Drosophila melanogaster: one gene and its partners. The protein of the gene in region 3 interacts with the protein of the main gene of each other region in a pairwise test. Each region holds a gene or a part of one and is shown on either strand. Other genes may lie near its edges.

Evidence for each region.
Region 1: the proteins of ATPCL (region 3) and CG10137 interact in a two-hybrid assay, tested with the Drosophila melanogaster proteins (one large-scale study listed by BioGRID).
Region 2: the proteins of ATPCL (region 3) and CG13454 interact in a two-hybrid assay, tested with the Drosophila melanogaster proteins (one large-scale study listed by BioGRID).

What each region holds. Positions count from the first base shown.
Region 1 is NT_033779.5:19,524,764-19,532,790, forward strand, and holds the start of CG10137 (uncharacterized protein), read left to right. Parts: upstream 1-1,922; 5' UTR 1,923-2,008; coding exon 2,009-2,048; intron 2,049-2,146; exon of another isoform or gene 2,147-2,613; coding exon of another isoform or gene 2,614-2,942; intron 2,943-2,997; coding exon of another isoform or gene 2,998-3,190; intron 3,191-3,324; coding exon of another isoform or gene 3,325-3,489; exon of another isoform or gene 3,490-3,606; intron 3,607-4,007; exon of another isoform or gene 4,008-4,014; coding exon 4,015-4,182; exon of another isoform or gene 4,183-4,233; intron 4,234-4,330; coding exon 4,331-5,426; exon of another isoform or gene 5,427-5,542; intron 5,543-6,150; coding exon 6,151-6,265; intron 6,266-6,331; coding exon 6,332-7,347; intron 7,348-7,403; coding exon 7,404-7,549; intron 7,550-7,602; coding exon 7,603-7,704; intron 7,705-7,764; coding exon 7,765-7,907; 3' UTR 7,908-8,027. Other genes in the region: CG10132 (uncharacterized protein), read left to right, coding at 1-203, 261-478; Dpm1 (Dolichyl-phosphate mannosyltransferase subunit 1), read right to left, coding at 711-1,121, 1,190-1,400, 1,458-1,561; CG10165 (uncharacterized protein), read right to left, coding at 2,614-2,942, 2,998-3,190, 3,325-3,489.
Region 2 is NT_037436.4:15,515,936-15,518,960, reverse strand, and holds CG13454 (uncharacterized protein), read left to right. Parts: upstream 1-1,904; 5' UTR 1,905-1,934; coding exon 1,935-2,273; 3' UTR 2,274-2,428; downstream 2,429-3,025. Other genes in the region: mex1 (midgut expression 1), read left to right, coding at 933-1,131.
Region 3 is NT_033778.4:15,998,189-16,003,322, reverse strand, and holds the start of ATPCL (ATP citrate lyase), read left to right. Parts: upstream 1-2,032; 5' UTR 2,033-2,135; exon of another isoform or gene 2,136-2,142; intron 2,143-3,035; exon of another isoform or gene 3,036-3,228; intron 3,229-3,352; 5' UTR 3,353-3,359; coding exon 3,360-3,518; intron 3,519-5,070; coding exon 5,071-5,134. Other genes in the region: Tmem131 (transmembrane protein 131), read right to left, coding at 1-771, 825-1,391.

The DNA of each region.
Region 1 (8,027 bases), on a different chromosome or scaffold from region 3:
CCAGGTGAACGCTTGCGTCATCGCCGGCCTAGAAGATGCCAAAATCCTAATCTGGGACCTGGTCACGGGCAACTGCAAGAGCACCTTGATCGGCCACAATGCACCGGTAACGTTCTTGAAGCTGGATCCATTGGGAAAGGTGCTGCTCTCCTACGACAAGGAGGGACGTGATTCGGCCGTCCGTATGTGGGAGTTGAATTCGGGTATGTACCACGGTCTTCGCCCTACTGAACTGTATAGTCATCCTTCTGGTCTTGCAGCCAAATCCCTGGCCGTGTTTAAGCCACCGGCGCAAGTGAGCACTTGTGAGATTCTGCCGAACGGAGCCTTCGTGGTGCTGGCTCTCAAGGATCGCAACTCCTTGCTGACCCTGGCTTTGAAGAACTACGGCGGAGGATCGGGCGCCCTCGACGATGACTGTGGCACTCTTTACGGCAATCCAGACAACCAGCACAAAGTTTTCGACTTGAGTAATTAAATCAATTAACGCTAGTTATCATTATTCAAATTATAAATGAAGCATAACAGGGTGCTAGACCGAGGAAGGCAGAACTCTGAATTATTATAAATATGGCAAACAAATTTCTCATGCATAATTCATTAGATGTATGTAAAATTCTTTGAGCAAATCTTACCAAATGTACAAAGCAAAGAAAATCCAAAGAACATTAAAAATTTAAAAATCTACCCAGCTAATGGTGGTTTTCTCTTTATGTGGTCGCAAACAGATACAAAAGGTTCTTGGCAAACTGAATAATCTCGGTCCCGCCGAGCTTGGAGGTGCCATAAATACGGTCCACGAAGGTGATGGGCACCTCGGCGATGGTGTAGCCGTGCTGTCTAGCCCGAACGAGCATCTCCATTTGGAACACGTAGCCTTTGGACACGCAGCTGGCAATGCATTTCTCCAGTACATCCTTCTTGTAGAGCCTGAAGGAGCCGGTCAAATCACTGGCGTTCGGACGTAAAAGCACCTGGGACAAAAAGTTGGCGCCGCGCGAGATGAGCTTGCGCTTGAAGTCCCAGCCAAAGACACCTCCATTTCCGGCATACCGAGTGCCGGATACAATGTCATAGTTGCCCTCCTGTTGCAGCTTAATGAACTCGGGAATGAATTTGGGCTGAAGCGGAAAAAATATAGCTTATTAGTTTATCTTATTATTAGTTTAACCCTGTTATCTAGACTCACATGATGACTCAAGTCCGCATCGATGATAACTATAAAGTCGCCGGTGGCATGTTTGATGCCATGTATGTAGGCCGTTCCGAGTCCCAATTTGGAGCCACGTGGTCTCAGCACAATCTTGTCCTCCCCGTAGATCTTCTGCAGGTCTTTGGCCACGTCTAGTGTTCCATCCGGACTACCATCATCAATCACAATCACCTCGTATTCCAAGCCGCTGCAAAGGGGGAGCAATTAATACCTGAATTTGCACCTTAGAGCAGCCGCTACTCACCTCGCCTTCATGTATTTCACAATTAGCCATATTATAATGGGCAAATTATCCTTTTCATTGTAAGTGGGCATCAAAATGCTGTATTTATGGCCATTTGTTGGCATTGTAATTGTTCTCAAGAACCGTGTAAATAATTTCAATTAAAACTACAAGAGTGTTGGTCAATTCAATAATACAAAACAGCTGGCTCGAATCGATAGCGAAGTCGATAGTGGCTAGATAGTTAGATAGTGGCTAAAACGTATCGAATTCCAAATGTAAATTTAAATGTGTTAAATAAATGATATTAAAATATCTAATTTGACAAAATATTGACTTTAATATAAAGCTGAACAAATAACATTCTATGTAGATGATGTATGTTTTTGGTATATTCGCCCAGCCGAATAAAGTTTTATAGTATACTTTCCAGAGCACAAGGGTAAAAATCATAAAAAATTGTGCGGTCACACAGTTCGCGAACGGCCGCTTTAAGAATAAGTGCTCACTTTATGTGCGGATTAGCGAATAAAAGTGGCAAAGTAGTGCGCTTTTGACGGCGCGACGTCAACATGGCTAAGAAAATACCTTTTAACGTGGTGTTCGCCTCAGGTAAACAAAACTTCGGATATATTATGAACTGAAAGCTGCAGAAAGATTTTTATTATTTATAGTTTTCTTATTTGTTTGCTTTATTTTGTGTGTTTTTTATGTTCTTAATTGCATTTTTAGTTGCGACAGGATTTGGCTGAGAGCTAAACGTCTTCCACCTCCCTTTCTTCCTTTAAAATTCGCTGCACTTGAGAAATCGATAAATCACGCATACGCCTAGTGCGCCAGGACGTTGGAATTTAAAATAGACTGGCGCTGCCTTTTTAATTGCAGCTAATCAGCTGGCAATAGTCCGATTTAAATATGGCCAGGATGCTAAATCAATTTTCCAAAGTCTCGGCCAATTTACCACGTCCTAAAACCACTGCAACCACGATGACTGTAATATTTCATTATAATATTGTCAGACTGCCGGGTTGTCGACTCTTTTTGTGTCTGCATGTGCAATTTGAGTTGCGGCCAGAGATTTAAATTTGGCCAAACGCCAAGCTCTTTATTTTCATGCTAGGACCTGACAAATTTTGGTTAGCCTCGATGGCCTCAGCCTCATCCTCCCCAGTATCACCTACTGGGCCTGCTCCGCCTTCTTTTTGGACCGATACTTAAGTTTAGTTAGAAGCGATGACACCGGCGCGATAATGGTGAGTCCATAAACAATGCCGGTAATCAGCATCATGCCGGGAATAAAGTCAGTATCCACATACTTGGTAAAGAATTTCGAATAGTAGCCCAGGTAAATGGCGCCCATTCCCAGACTAAAGGTGACCAATCCAAATAGATTATGGCGGAAGCGAAGCTCTGATGGAGGCATTACTTTCAGGGCGAACTTGGGCTGGAAATAGTTGACAAAACCGCCTACAATGCTGGCCGCGCAGAAAAAGGAAGCAGCTCCCCCTGCAAAATGTCAGCTTTAATCGGTTTTCCTGAATTAACCTAATTATTTACTCACCCACTCGGCCGTGCCAGGTGTTAAAGTGCACCTCCTTGCTGGAAAATTTACCCAGGGAGCCCAACAGCACCATGGAGCCACCCACAATCTGCAGGATGGCGTGGAAGCGCGACTTGTTTCGGTGCGACAGCCAACGGGTGAGCGGGTTCACTTTCGAATGCGACATCATGGCCTGGGCGATAAGGACGTGGAACTGTCGAGAGCAAGAAAAGCCTTTTAATTCAGCTCCAGTTCGATAAGATAACAAGTGACGTTGCATGTCCGTGTTATCCAGGTCGATCTAACACTATTGATTTTGTGGCCAAGTGCTTATCGCCGTGTACTCACTCCAGTCCCGGTCATAAACATATGCATGGCGGTATCCTTGAACTCCAGACTGCGCGCCAGTATGAAAAAGAAGACGGCCACCAGAAAGATCAGAATGTGGTTGATGCTATTCAGCAGGCTGTGGATTTGCAGCCAGGCAGTGGCTTTCGTGTAACCCTCCGCCATTTCAAAAGATTCAATAATACTATCTGATTCAGTAACAAAACACGAACGGCTGAGCGACGACTAAACTAGCATGTTAACATCGACATCGCTTAAATATAGAAGAGAAGAGCGTGGAACCTGAGGATAGAGAACAACAAGTTAGATTCGTTTGTACTCGTACAGCTGCGTTCGAATAAATAGTGATAGTTGAGAATTCTTAAAGTAACTCAAATGTTTTTGTTTATGCTTTCCATTTTATACGTTTCATCGCATATATAACTGATAACCTGTTTCTGAATATTTAATAGATTTTAAGGCTTATTATTTTGGGCACGCTTGAATGCTAGCTTTCGTTTTGACCGCTGCTGTTAGCTTAGCAACCGAAAGAGAACGAAACATAGTCCGATATCGTTATCATGTGCAACTATTTAGCTGAGTGTGCGAAAAAGAGACTTATTAAGAGAGTCATAATGGCCTGCGCCACCTATACATAGGTTATAACGTCATGAAAGTAATGATGATTGGATCGTTTCGCTTGCCTTTCAGACGAGGATGTTAACTTTCCGGCTAGCGAGTTAAACAATCACGGCCCCACAGTTCACGGATGGCGAAGTGCTCCGAACGGCAGCCTCACCTCACATGACATCATCCTCCGATTCCAGCAGCCGGCCAAGATCTATCGCATCCAGCTCCTGGCACACCAGTATCTTATACGTAAGTTAATGTGCTAAGTTAATTGGAATTGGCTACAAGCCTAATAAGTACCTAGAAATAATCAATGCCTGATCTTTAGTATGATCAAAGATGAACATATAAACAAACAGCTTGAGTATTCCCTATAATGTGTTGTTTTTTCGTTTAGCTGAGAAAGTAGAACTCTGGCTGCACTACTCGCCCAAATCCCTGCCCAGCACTCCATCCTCGCAGTACTTTGACTTTTTGGGTTTTGTTGCCCTGGCGGATAATGCCAACACGAACTACAAGTCTCGGGAGCTGCAGAGCGTAACCGTGTGTCCACGTAGGGGCACACATCTTAAGCTGCGTCTGATTGGCGTCCAAGGAAACGACTACAATGACACAGGCCAGATTTCCCTACTAGCGGTAAATGTCCTGGGCGAGGATCTGGAAGTGGGGCCAAATAATGGCAACGGAGAGGAGCACTTGGCCAACGAGGCCCCACCGTTGGACACGGCCACCGGAGAACTGGCCCTGGCCTCCGTCTGTGATGACCTGCTTTTCTCCATGTATGTGGAGGAGTCAATAGTGCAGACCATCCGAGAGTTGGAACAGCGAAAGATTTTGGCCGTTAACTCAGAAAGATTCGAGTACGCCCGCAAACTGAAGCTATGCATGACAGCTTTAAGGACTGCCGGAGAACGTTTGGGGCGCTATGCTCTGGCCAAGAGGCAGGCTGTTCAGCAGGAGGACTTTACCACGGCCAGGCTACGCAAGGAGCAGATCGAGATGTACCGGGCGGCAGTACTTCGACAATTGCAGGTGCATCAGCTTCTGGAACCGCAGGGTGTGACCTTAAGCTCCAATGACCAAAGCTGCGAGATCTATGCGGGTGGGAAGCCCAGTCTGCCATCGGCTCCTAGCCTGCAGGATGTGGCACAGGCACTTGCGGAAGCCACCTTCAGTCCCAAGAGCATGACGAGTCTCAGCTTAGAGGACAAATCCTCGACCGATGGCTCCCAGCCTGGTAACGACAATACGTTGACAGCTCCGGCACCTGCTCCAGCACCCGCTCCTGCGCCCACCTCTTTGCAGGCCACGCCCACTCCCACGCTGGGGGGCTGGCGCAAGTCCCACGACGAGCTGCCGCAGTCGCCACGTCTGCCTTCAAGGCACAGCTCACCAATGTCCAGCCGACAGGGATCGCTGCGCAGGCGCAACAAGAGCGTTCCACGAAACTCCTACGAAGACTACGAGGAGCGGGCCATTCCCACGCTGCGACAGTGAGTAGCGGGCGTAGAGAGTCGTAATCGTTGTCTGGGTGTCTAGTGAATACGTAAACAATTGTGGAATAGTAATTACTTCGTTTGTTTACTGGAAACAGCTGTCTATTACAGTGTTGCATGATAACCGGTACTCTTAGTTTGAATGTTTGTCAACACTAGCGACCGTTAGAAACAACACCCGTTACTTTTTTTAATTTAAGATTTAACGCTCGCCCAGAATTTCAAAGAACGAAAGAGAATCTATTAGCTTAATTTTAAGTAAAGCCGTTTTATCTGCTCTAAACACATGAAAAGGATTTATCTTTTTAAAGCAAAAGCAAAAATTCTTTATATATTGAAATTAGGTATTTTTGAGATACTTTTAAATGTTAGGCTTTTTGACAGAAATTTTGCTTTTAGATATTTTAAAAAGTATTTAAAATTTGCTTTTAGAGAAAAGTATTTATGTTTTTATTAACAACTTAGAAACTTTTATAAAAGATTAAAAATAGTTTGAACGGTTTCATAGTTAATTTCATATAATGAAATTTCGAAACTATACACAAAACTTTAAATTAGGCGTTATTTGAACGCATTTGAAAGTAACATGTTGTTAGATTTACCTTTAATCGTACTTACCTTTCTACTCCTATATGTATATTGTAACCGCATCCGTAAACGTTGCCATTCCGATACAACAAACACAAACCGCTCACAGTTCAAATACTAATGAATTTTTAAGGGAGTGCCAAGGCAACGCGCTACTGGAAGCGGATCCGAACCGTGGGCGTTCGCGCCTGAACGACCGCGAGCGTCGCCAGGCAGCGCTTCCCATCCTGGTCTTCGGCAATGAGCTGGTGAGTCCCCCATTAAATCCAATAGATAACATATTCAATACGTGCCCTACATATGTATATTCCCAGGTGGAGCAGTTCTATTCGCGTCAGTTTCAGGACCGCGAGGATGGCTTGATGCGTCTGCGTAACTTCCTAAAGGAGCACGACCTGTTAGAGGCGTCGAGCAACGAGCACGCTGCCAGTCCCAACAAAGTGGCCCGCAGCGCCGCCCTTCTGCTGCATCGCGCTGTAAGAGATGCCGTTTACTCCGTGTTTAGCCAAGCTACTGAGACGGTACGCATGCTGTTCCTAGAGTATGTGCCCGGTCGAGTTTCCCCCAACGAGGTGGCACGTTGCGTGGACCGCCTGCTGCCCGAATTGCTGGCCAAGTCCGGCGATCCATCTGCTCGATTGCACACTCTGGCCCAGCACACGATCCTAAGCATCGCCGCCTGTCCGGAGGTGGCGGAGCAGCACCTGGTTGCGCCAGCACTATCACGAAGCGTTGGATCCGGAACCCACCAGCGACTGGCAATGAGTCGGCTGCAGATGCTGGAGCAGCTGGTCAACACTCAGGGCATTAGCACGGACAAGCATAGTGGACTCACCTGCAGGGCATTGTCCGAGTGCGGCTGCTCCGGCATCCATCATCCAGCGGAGCCTGTGCGAAAGGTGGCCGAGCGCATCCTGCTGCTCGTCTACAAGGTGAATCCCCGACTGGTGCGCAAGCAGTTACCTCCGGATGACGACATCACGCGTCGCAATCTCTTGTACCGCCAACTCTTCACCGAATTTGACAAGTTGGATCTGGACCGCAAGCAGGAGCTGCTGGAGGCTAGCAAGTATGGCGGGGGTCACAGCTCGGGCGATGCGGCAACACCGCCGGCGGATAAGGCGTCCACCAGCTCAGATGCCTCTCGACTGATGAATAGCCGCAGTGGTCATAACCTAGGCCCAATGGCCAGCTCCAGTAATGGATATGCCAGCTGCAATGGAAAGCAGCAGTACAACGAGCAGCTCAAGCGCTCCATGCTATCCGTGAGCAACTCGCGCAAGGGATCCGCTTCCAACTCGGAGTCCACTGAAGACAACACACCCAAAATGTGTGTAGTAAAATTGAATTCTTCAAGGATCCGCAATAATATTAATACTCTTTTAGACGTTGCCCCTTTTGCGACTGGTCGTGTGCCGGCAGTGACGCTACTCAGTTGGACCGACACTACTGGAAGGCGTGTCCTTTCCTCACCAAGTGCCCACAATGCAGTCAAGTGCTGGAGGTTGCTGCTCTGAACTACCACCTGACAAGTAGGTCTGCAATATAATACCGTAGGATAACTAATATTGTGAATATTCCCCAGCGGAATGCGATGCCAAGGAGAGCTACGTGGTCTGTGTCCGTTGCACTGAATCGGTGCACAAGCAGCTATATGAACTACATCAGATGGAGGACTATTGTCGGGGTAGAAACTTGAAATTGAGATAAATTCTAGAGTCACTATATCACCATTTCCCCTCTCCAGAACTGAAAACGGGTGCTGCTCGATGTCCCCTTTGTCATGACGATGTTCACCTTCCCCAAGACGGCGGCTGGAAATTGCATCTCCTCAGCGCCGGCGGCTGTCCCGGGAATATACGCAAGAGGAATCTCAAGAAGTCAAATTAGAAAGCGTACACTTAATCGATCTATTGGCCTAGCGAATTAGCGAATTTATTAGAGCAACTATTCTAGTCAGGATACCTACTCAAGGAAGCTATCTAATTTCAGTCGCAGCAGCCGAACTCA
Region 2 (3,025 bases), on a different chromosome or scaffold from region 3:
CCTACTCTAGTTAAAAATGATTCATCTACCTTTGCGACCCTAATCAAATTCTTTGGTTATTTTTTTTTTGTTTTGATTTGGAACAAAATAGTCAATAAAATCAAATGTAGGGAATTATGTGCTGGAATCGACGCTTAATCGTTGTCATTGTGTTTATCGTCGTGCTAACAGTAGTTTTCTTTATAATATTTCATATATATGATAAGTATTACGATCAATCCCTCTTCACTCGAGATGTTTAAGTGGCAAATAGCTTTATTCTGTATTTTTATTCTGCTGGATGCACCAGTACGAAAATGATGGATAATACGATACAGATACCTCGGTCGAATGGAAACATTGTAAGCTCCGTTTTCCAATAACTCTCACCCATTTTTCTCACTGGCGTAGTGATAATTATAGTCGACTTGTTATCAGTCTATTTGTTATTTTTTCGGCCGATATGATTAAAGCTTTCAATACCTGTAGACCCCAAAATGCGGTCGATGACAGTTACCCGCTTCAGTTAATATTTTGTGTTGGTCAACCACGCATCGGGAATCGGAAATATACTGTACAGTATATCTATCTATAATAGAATAACCCAAAAAAGTCATCACCATGTGCAACGCTCTCTGTGAATGCCTCAAATGTCCCGGCAAAGTGGTTTGCTGGTAAGTTTCCATCGGTTTCTGGCTCACTAATCATCATATACAAATATATACTATATATATATAAATTATATGTGAGAGCTCTTGACCAGCTCTGGATGAAGCCAATTTGGGAAATTTAGAAATGGGTATCTTCAGTTACAAGCATCCTAAGTATTCGGGATTCAACCTGATTGAAATGAACTAATTGAACTGATCTGACAACAAGATCTGACATCCAGGATATCTCCATCTTGATCATGTGTAAAACTTTTCTAATCAGATCTTTCCATATCCTTGCAGCTGCTGTTCCTGCGCCTGCAAGATGCTCCTGAGCATCGTGTTTTCTGCGCTCCTGATGGTCGTGGTGATCGGCTTGATTGTCTACTTCACGGTCTTCTATCACAAGGATAAGAACACGGATGAGGTGCAGAAGCAGGTCGCCCAACTGACGCCCATTGTGAAGCGCAGCATACGCGACTACTTCAACAAGGAGTACTGATCTGAGGACATGAATTTATACTATAGGCCATATTAATAATAACTCCGTCGAAATCGAAATTGAAACGAACTAAGAACCAAAGCCGTTCAGTGCATGACTTAATCTAATCGCGTCGGATGCTCGTTATGGGATTTTTTCTTATCTATAGATAGTTTGGGACTCAATTGAATGGGCAATTTGTGCGTTCTTTAGAAAGGTAGATAATGTTGGAGCGGCAAAAAATGTGACTCACTGTATACCTTACAATACATTTTGAACTCGAAACCCAGTAAAGCATTCACAATATATATTTAATGTATAATATGTATGAATGTAAGGCAGATTAAAAAAGTTATATTGTACTGGATGACACACTATAAACAAGACAATAAAACTAAAATATCTATAGAAAATTGAAAGTGGAAATAAAAGTAAGTGTATCATTAATTAATAGCATCTCTACATACTGGCTTTTAAAATTTGTAAATCTAAAATAAGCTAATATTTTAAGCTTGGGGGAAAGAAATTAGAAAACTTCGTTATTGAAGTGTGAGATATTCACTAATAAATATTTGAGCTAGGGAAGTTCAAATATTTTTTTAAGATGAGGGTTTACCAGCAGGGAAACCCCTCATTACCACAGTCCTTCCAGCTGTTTTCCTAGTTTTATGTACACCATTGTTTGGGATCAGGTAGCCTAGAACACCGTCGAGGGTTGAAAAGTGTCCAAGATCTGGTGGTCCGTTCAAATGCATTTCAAACTCGTCCCCTTGACTTGCTTCAATCAACTTTGGGCTCAGTTGTTCGCCAGCATCAGGTTCACAATGTCCTCCGATTCCACGCTGTACTTCAGTGCCGTCGAGGATATGTTCAAGGAAGTGTTAACAATAGGGGACGAGAAGAGGGATCCTGGAAACGAGGATTTCTCCGAAACACCTAAACGTTGCGTACGATTGCGCCAGCAAAAGTTGTTCGCGAACGATACCGCGAGTTTTGTGATAGGTCGCCGTTCGCCGAGGATTGAATCCAAAATCGATCTCAACAGAGATGTATCTCCTGGAAGGCGAAAGGAGCTGCGCGGCGAGGAAATCCTTCGGATGCGCAAGGATCGGGCGGAAAAGGAGCGTCTGAGGCCCCAAAGGCGTCTTACCATGCGGATTTAGTGCCACACCTATCGATATGATAGCTATCCACCGAGTTCATTGTGTTCCCCAATCGAAGTGCTTCCCTGTTGTATGCTCTACTTTAGGATTTATTTTTAAGCTCACCTAAGTATGCTAAGTTTTGAGTGCCAATAAATAAAGTTATTAGTGAATACAATTGGTCTGCTAATGTTTTTTACTTTGTTATTATATATCATATATACAAATCATATATATATATATATATATATCAGGTCAATTGAGTAAATATTTGTTTCTTAAAAGATTGCTGCTATACAAATAAGGCACATATTTAAATATAAAACTTTATTTAGGCAGGTTTTTCTTTCATGATGCCTAAATTATTACCCACATTCAATTAAAACGAAATATATTTCATAAAATATATGAAATTGTTTTCTGTTTTCACATATTTAACAATAACTCTTTAAATCTTTTACTAACAGTGTGCTCCAACACAAATTTATTTGTACTGAATACAATTTTAAAGGAAAAACAAAAATATAATATTTAAGTTTTTATAAACATTTTATAGCAATTTAGCTAGTTCACGAACCTTTTTACAGTCAACGTAGACATTGTGTAGAGTATTATTTTTATCAAATTCAAAGAGATACGATTTTGTAATCCTTTTTTTGTAAAACGTATCAAAACGCATACACTTAAAAAATTTGACTAAAAGAACAATTTAAAGATTTACTTCAATAATTTCTTGTTTGTATTTTCTGTTAATATATCAAATTTTAAACCTC
Region 3 (5,134 bases):
CAGATTTAGACGCAGGAGCTCAACAGATTCGTCCGGCTGAATTAGTATCCTTGGATCGCCTACGAGGGTTACTTCCAATATGGATTCATCAATGGGCTCTGTGAGACTTACGTTAAAGAGCATTAGGGGTATTGCGAACTTGTTCCGCACCACCAGCGATCGTTTTCTTTCCAGCGGTTCACCCTCGACGCCTTCTGGCGAGGTGGTCACAAATCTGGTGGCATTTCTGTCGAAGGTGAGCCCTCCATGGAAGATTTCCGCTCGCACCAGCACTGTAAACGGCTGATCCGCACCAGGACTGGTACTGGACTGGTTACTGTTGATCACCAGCAGATCATTAATGATCTCATCGCCTTCGAATAGGCTGGCATCCAACACTATACTTGTGTTGTTTGCGTCAAACGAGAGACCCGGAATCTGGCGAAGGTAACTGCCGAAGAGTTGGCGACTCTCGTCGTTCCGAACGTCCAGCTTGAACTGTAGTGCATCCGGAGCATTTAAAGTGGCCACACGGCCAAAGTCCGCCAGTGGATTGCGGGCGTACACAGAATGTCGTGGCAGAATCTCAAATTCGACAGGAATAAAAATATCCAGTTCCTGCTCTGCGACCTTGATGCGTATGTAGGCGCTGTGATTGCCAGCTGTGCGGCCGTGAAATGATATCCTAATGACCGGCTTTAAAGTGTGTGGAGGAATTTTCCACAGATTTTGTGGGCCCTCCGAGCCACCGCTGGGCAACTCTAACTGAAACTCGCCGCCGCTGCTGTATATCTAAAAGACATGGTTATGGGTAATATACCTACAGAGTGTTGATTAAAACCTACCTCAAGTATCTGCAGCGGCCGCTCGTGCGGGTTGTACATGTGAATCTCTGGCGTGAGTGTCGCATTCATGGGCGCCTTAATGCCCACCAACGGCTTTAGGCGGTACGGGCACTCACTGCCCTCGCCCTGTACCGCCAACTCGGCCTGGCCGAAGGAGGTGTGAATGAGAAGGTCGGCGGCAATGGCGCCTAGTTGGCGCGGTAGGAACACCACGTTGAAAGTTGTATTGCCTTGCGGCGGCACCTCTCTCGTGCCCAGGAAGCTGCTGTAGAACGCCGGACTTGGTCCGGCCACCGCGTTCAGCTGGAGCGTTCGATTGGAGTGTTGATTGAATAGTGTCACCGTCTGAGAACGCGCCTGGCCGACGGACCACGTTCCAAAGTCTAGACGGGACGGCACAAGCCGAAGGTCCCCCAAATCGTGGATTGGTGCCTCCTGCAGCCCCAGGAAAGTCTCCTGCAGGACCTTTTCACCTTTGGCGCCCAAAGTGAAAAGGAAGATTAGGATGAGCAGGATGGGTTCTGCGAATATTCGCAAAAGCGGCCTCATCTGGACTTGTGTGGGCATGGCGTGCGTTCCCTTGATCCTGGGATGCTGTGTGTGTGTGTGTTCGTGTGGGCGGCGATGGCGCAGCTCCTGGTAACCGACTTTCTGTCCAGCTGCTAATCTAAATTGGAGTTTCCTTGGCGTTGCGCTTTATTTATATTATCCAATATCGCTGGCCAAAAATTATTATCGCTTTTCGGTGTGACCGCCGTGGAATACATAAAACATACCATCCGGCACAGGGAAATACTAATCATATGATCATTTTAAAAATATACCATTAAAGCACAGAATCCTTTTTTAAGGCGCATCAGGTGGCTACATAAATTGCTTGATATATGGGCTTATGTTTAGTTGATTTCTTGCTGGTAGTATAATTTAAGCGTTCAATGGCATGCGATTAAATTTAACATTGTATTGTAGCAGATTATTAAAATAATGAAATATTTATATATTATTAAATATATATAAAAAAATATATATTTAATTTGTTTACTATAAATGCTATTAATATTATAGAGCCTAGCGCATACAGTTAATACTGTATATAATATTACATACTGTTGCGCAGTATTTTAAAACGCGCCAAAAAGTATGCTCGAAAAAAATTAATAACAAAATGTATCGCCATGTATTCGAGGGAAAACAGTGAAAGAGCTATCGAAACTTGGCCATCGCTAGCTAAAGAAACGACAACCGAAAGAAAGTTGCAGTTTAGTTTACGTGTTAAAATTAATCGCAGGTCGTGAAGCTGATTTAACTAAAGTGAGTGCTCTCGTCGCCCGTTAATATACCCGCGTATATACACCCACAATTTCATTGAATAGTGACGAGTACAAAGGAAAACATGACCAAATGAAATTTCGCACAGATCGTTCGGCTTGCTCCACGCACTTACACTCACACACACACACACACACACACACACACACACACACTATAATCACATATTCGCTGAATATTGCAGAAATATTAATGCGAAAATCAGCAAGCATTTTGCAATAATTACTGAAGGCGAAGATTAACAGCTATTTGACCCACGAACGGTGATGCAACAGCCCTATTGATTTTGCCCACTTTCACCGCTTACAACATTTTTAGTTTGGGCTTCGGTTTCGGTTTCGCATTTAGTTTTTTTTAGTTTCACCAGCAGGGCAGCCAATTTGCATACGCATCGGCTAGGCGTGAACTTCGTTTCCAGATGTAAATTAGATCGTGTGTACTTGCAAAGTCATCAGCCCCCTTCAATGTGCGCTCTTCATCGAATTAGATTCCATGCCATTTCCGATTTGCTAGCCATTGGCTGTTCATGTATTTTTGGGAGAAAGTTCGGCCCTCAGCCAAAGTGACCCACTGACTTGACTAACTGGGCTTGATATCCAAGCTGCAATGATATGTTGATAACCGGTTCTACAAAAGGTGCTTCCCCACACCCAACGCAATGGTAATGGTCCAGGGCCAGATCCCGTTGCAGACCTAATCTCTGGGAAACAACCATCTGGTTGAGCGAGAGCCATGTACATATCAACACATAAGCCGAAAATTCTAAAGACCCGAAGCCGTTGGAGTCGCGAAGCTTGAAAGCCGAGGCAGCGCCACGAAATCGAAATCAGAATACGCCTGTTGCTGGCTCATTTTCATGGATGGTGCTGTCGCGCATTCGATTTCAGTTTACTTCCAGACCCGACGACGTGCAGGTTGATTAGCTAGCTGCCCAGCCTGTAGCTACCCAAAGCTGAAGCCGCCCAGCACGCACACTTTGAAACTTACTCGAAACCTATTGCACCTGCACACAGTCGTGCTCTAATCAATTCTAAGTAAATAAATCAAAGTTTGAAAGTACAGACAAAGTCAAACGGTACGCGCGAACACACGAGACCCTCCTTTATTTGTATTTGAAAGAAGGCTATATTAAATCTTAATTGATTTGTTTTTATATATTTTTGTATTTTTGTTTTTTTGTTTTTTTGTATATTCTGTAGCTTCATCATGTCGGCGAAAGCAATCACCGAGGCCTCCGGCAAGGACATCCTGAACCGCCATCTCAACACCCATGGCGCCGGCGCGGCCACTTGCCGTTTTTCCACAGTAAATTCCACGACAGATTGGTCCAAGCTCGCCGTTGACCATCCCTGGCTGCTGACCACGGTGAGTGCCAGTTAAAAATAGCCGCGAAACTCGCGGAACTCGACGATTGCGAATCAGCCGATATGTAGGAACAACAATTGGGCCAGCGACAACAAACGCTCGGCGGGATTGTCATTGAACTTGACCTCGTGGTGGACGCTTCGACCACCACGCCGATGCCGAATGACTAAGCGCGGCTCCTGATAAGAGCGAATTGGGCGCCAGTCGGTCGCGCGAGTTGATCGCTGGAAATTGCGGAGTAGACGGACGGACGCGGGCGCAGACCGACAGCTCACCCCATGGCGCACTCTGGTTTTTATCAGATTGCCGGGGACCCAGTCGTAGGTCGCGTGGCATGGCGTGGTCTTGGCCCCTTTGGTTATCCGCCGGCGGATCAGGCTCACCTCATTTGCGAACACGATAAGCGTGCGTGGAGATTGGGATTCACGATCACGCAGCTATCTCTGATTGACCTTCCGATCGATAGTGGAAAGTTTGGCTGTAGCCAAGTACTTATCTTGAGCACTTATAACGGTTGAGTGGGAAATAAGGGGAAGCTAACATGTTCCGTGTTTGTTTTAGAAAACCTTTATCACCGAAATCCATATGTTCGAAATCTTATCATCAAGTTATTTGTTGATTTTGGAGCGTCTCAATTTATTGACCTTACCTAGCATTGTTGCGCCGCCTGAATTTCTAAAGAATAATTTCAATTCAAATATGCCGGAGATTTTAAAGTGGCGAAGTGTCGCTGAGTCGAGTGGGGGATTCAGGGAACTACTCTACTATCTTTCAAACAATTTTCGCAAAATAATATATTCTATTGAAATGTGATCAGTTAAAACTTATCTATAAGTTGTTTGTTGACTCTAGAGGGAGCGTCCCTATACTTAGTCTTAGTAATCTAAAGGCAGGATTGTGAAACTCTGATTATCAGGAAGGTGTTTTAATTTATGACATGCAGATAGAAGGTATTAACTTTCTGATTTAATAGACTTATTGTCTTGTTGTCACGTTTTCGTTTGAAGTGCATAATACTTTTATTACGTTACTGATAATGATGTTTACCCCACTGAAGGGGGAGAAGCAAACAATCAAACACAATACAACTCCCTTTAAATAGTTTCACTTAGAGCTATTAGTTTAATATTTTGATCTCGTAATTTTATATGCAATTAAGATAGATCCGAAATTTAGTGAGCATAATGGGAGTTCTTTCGGCTTTAATTACACGACAAAGTGAATCGCCTGACGGACATCTCGGATGATATTTCGTAGTCGGACTGTTTGCTCAATTTACACTCGTACGATCTTCTAATAAGCATATGAGATGTGTTTTTGTGTGGGCACAAGTACAAGTTCGGGTAAGGGTACGAGCACTGGCATTGTCATTGGCAATGACGCGGGAACGACCCCTGATGTTATCGGCTGATCTTTTCGACAGATGCTGATCGTTGGAACCGGCTTTTTTACTGACGCGCCGAGATCAGAAGGCACAAGTTCAACGATTTGTCGCTTATTTCATTTATATTTAGCATACATTTAATTAGCCCCGTCCTTTCCTTTGTTGCAGCCGCTGGTGTGCAAGCCCGATCAACTTATCAAGCGCCGTGGAAAGCTGGGACTAATTGGCGTCA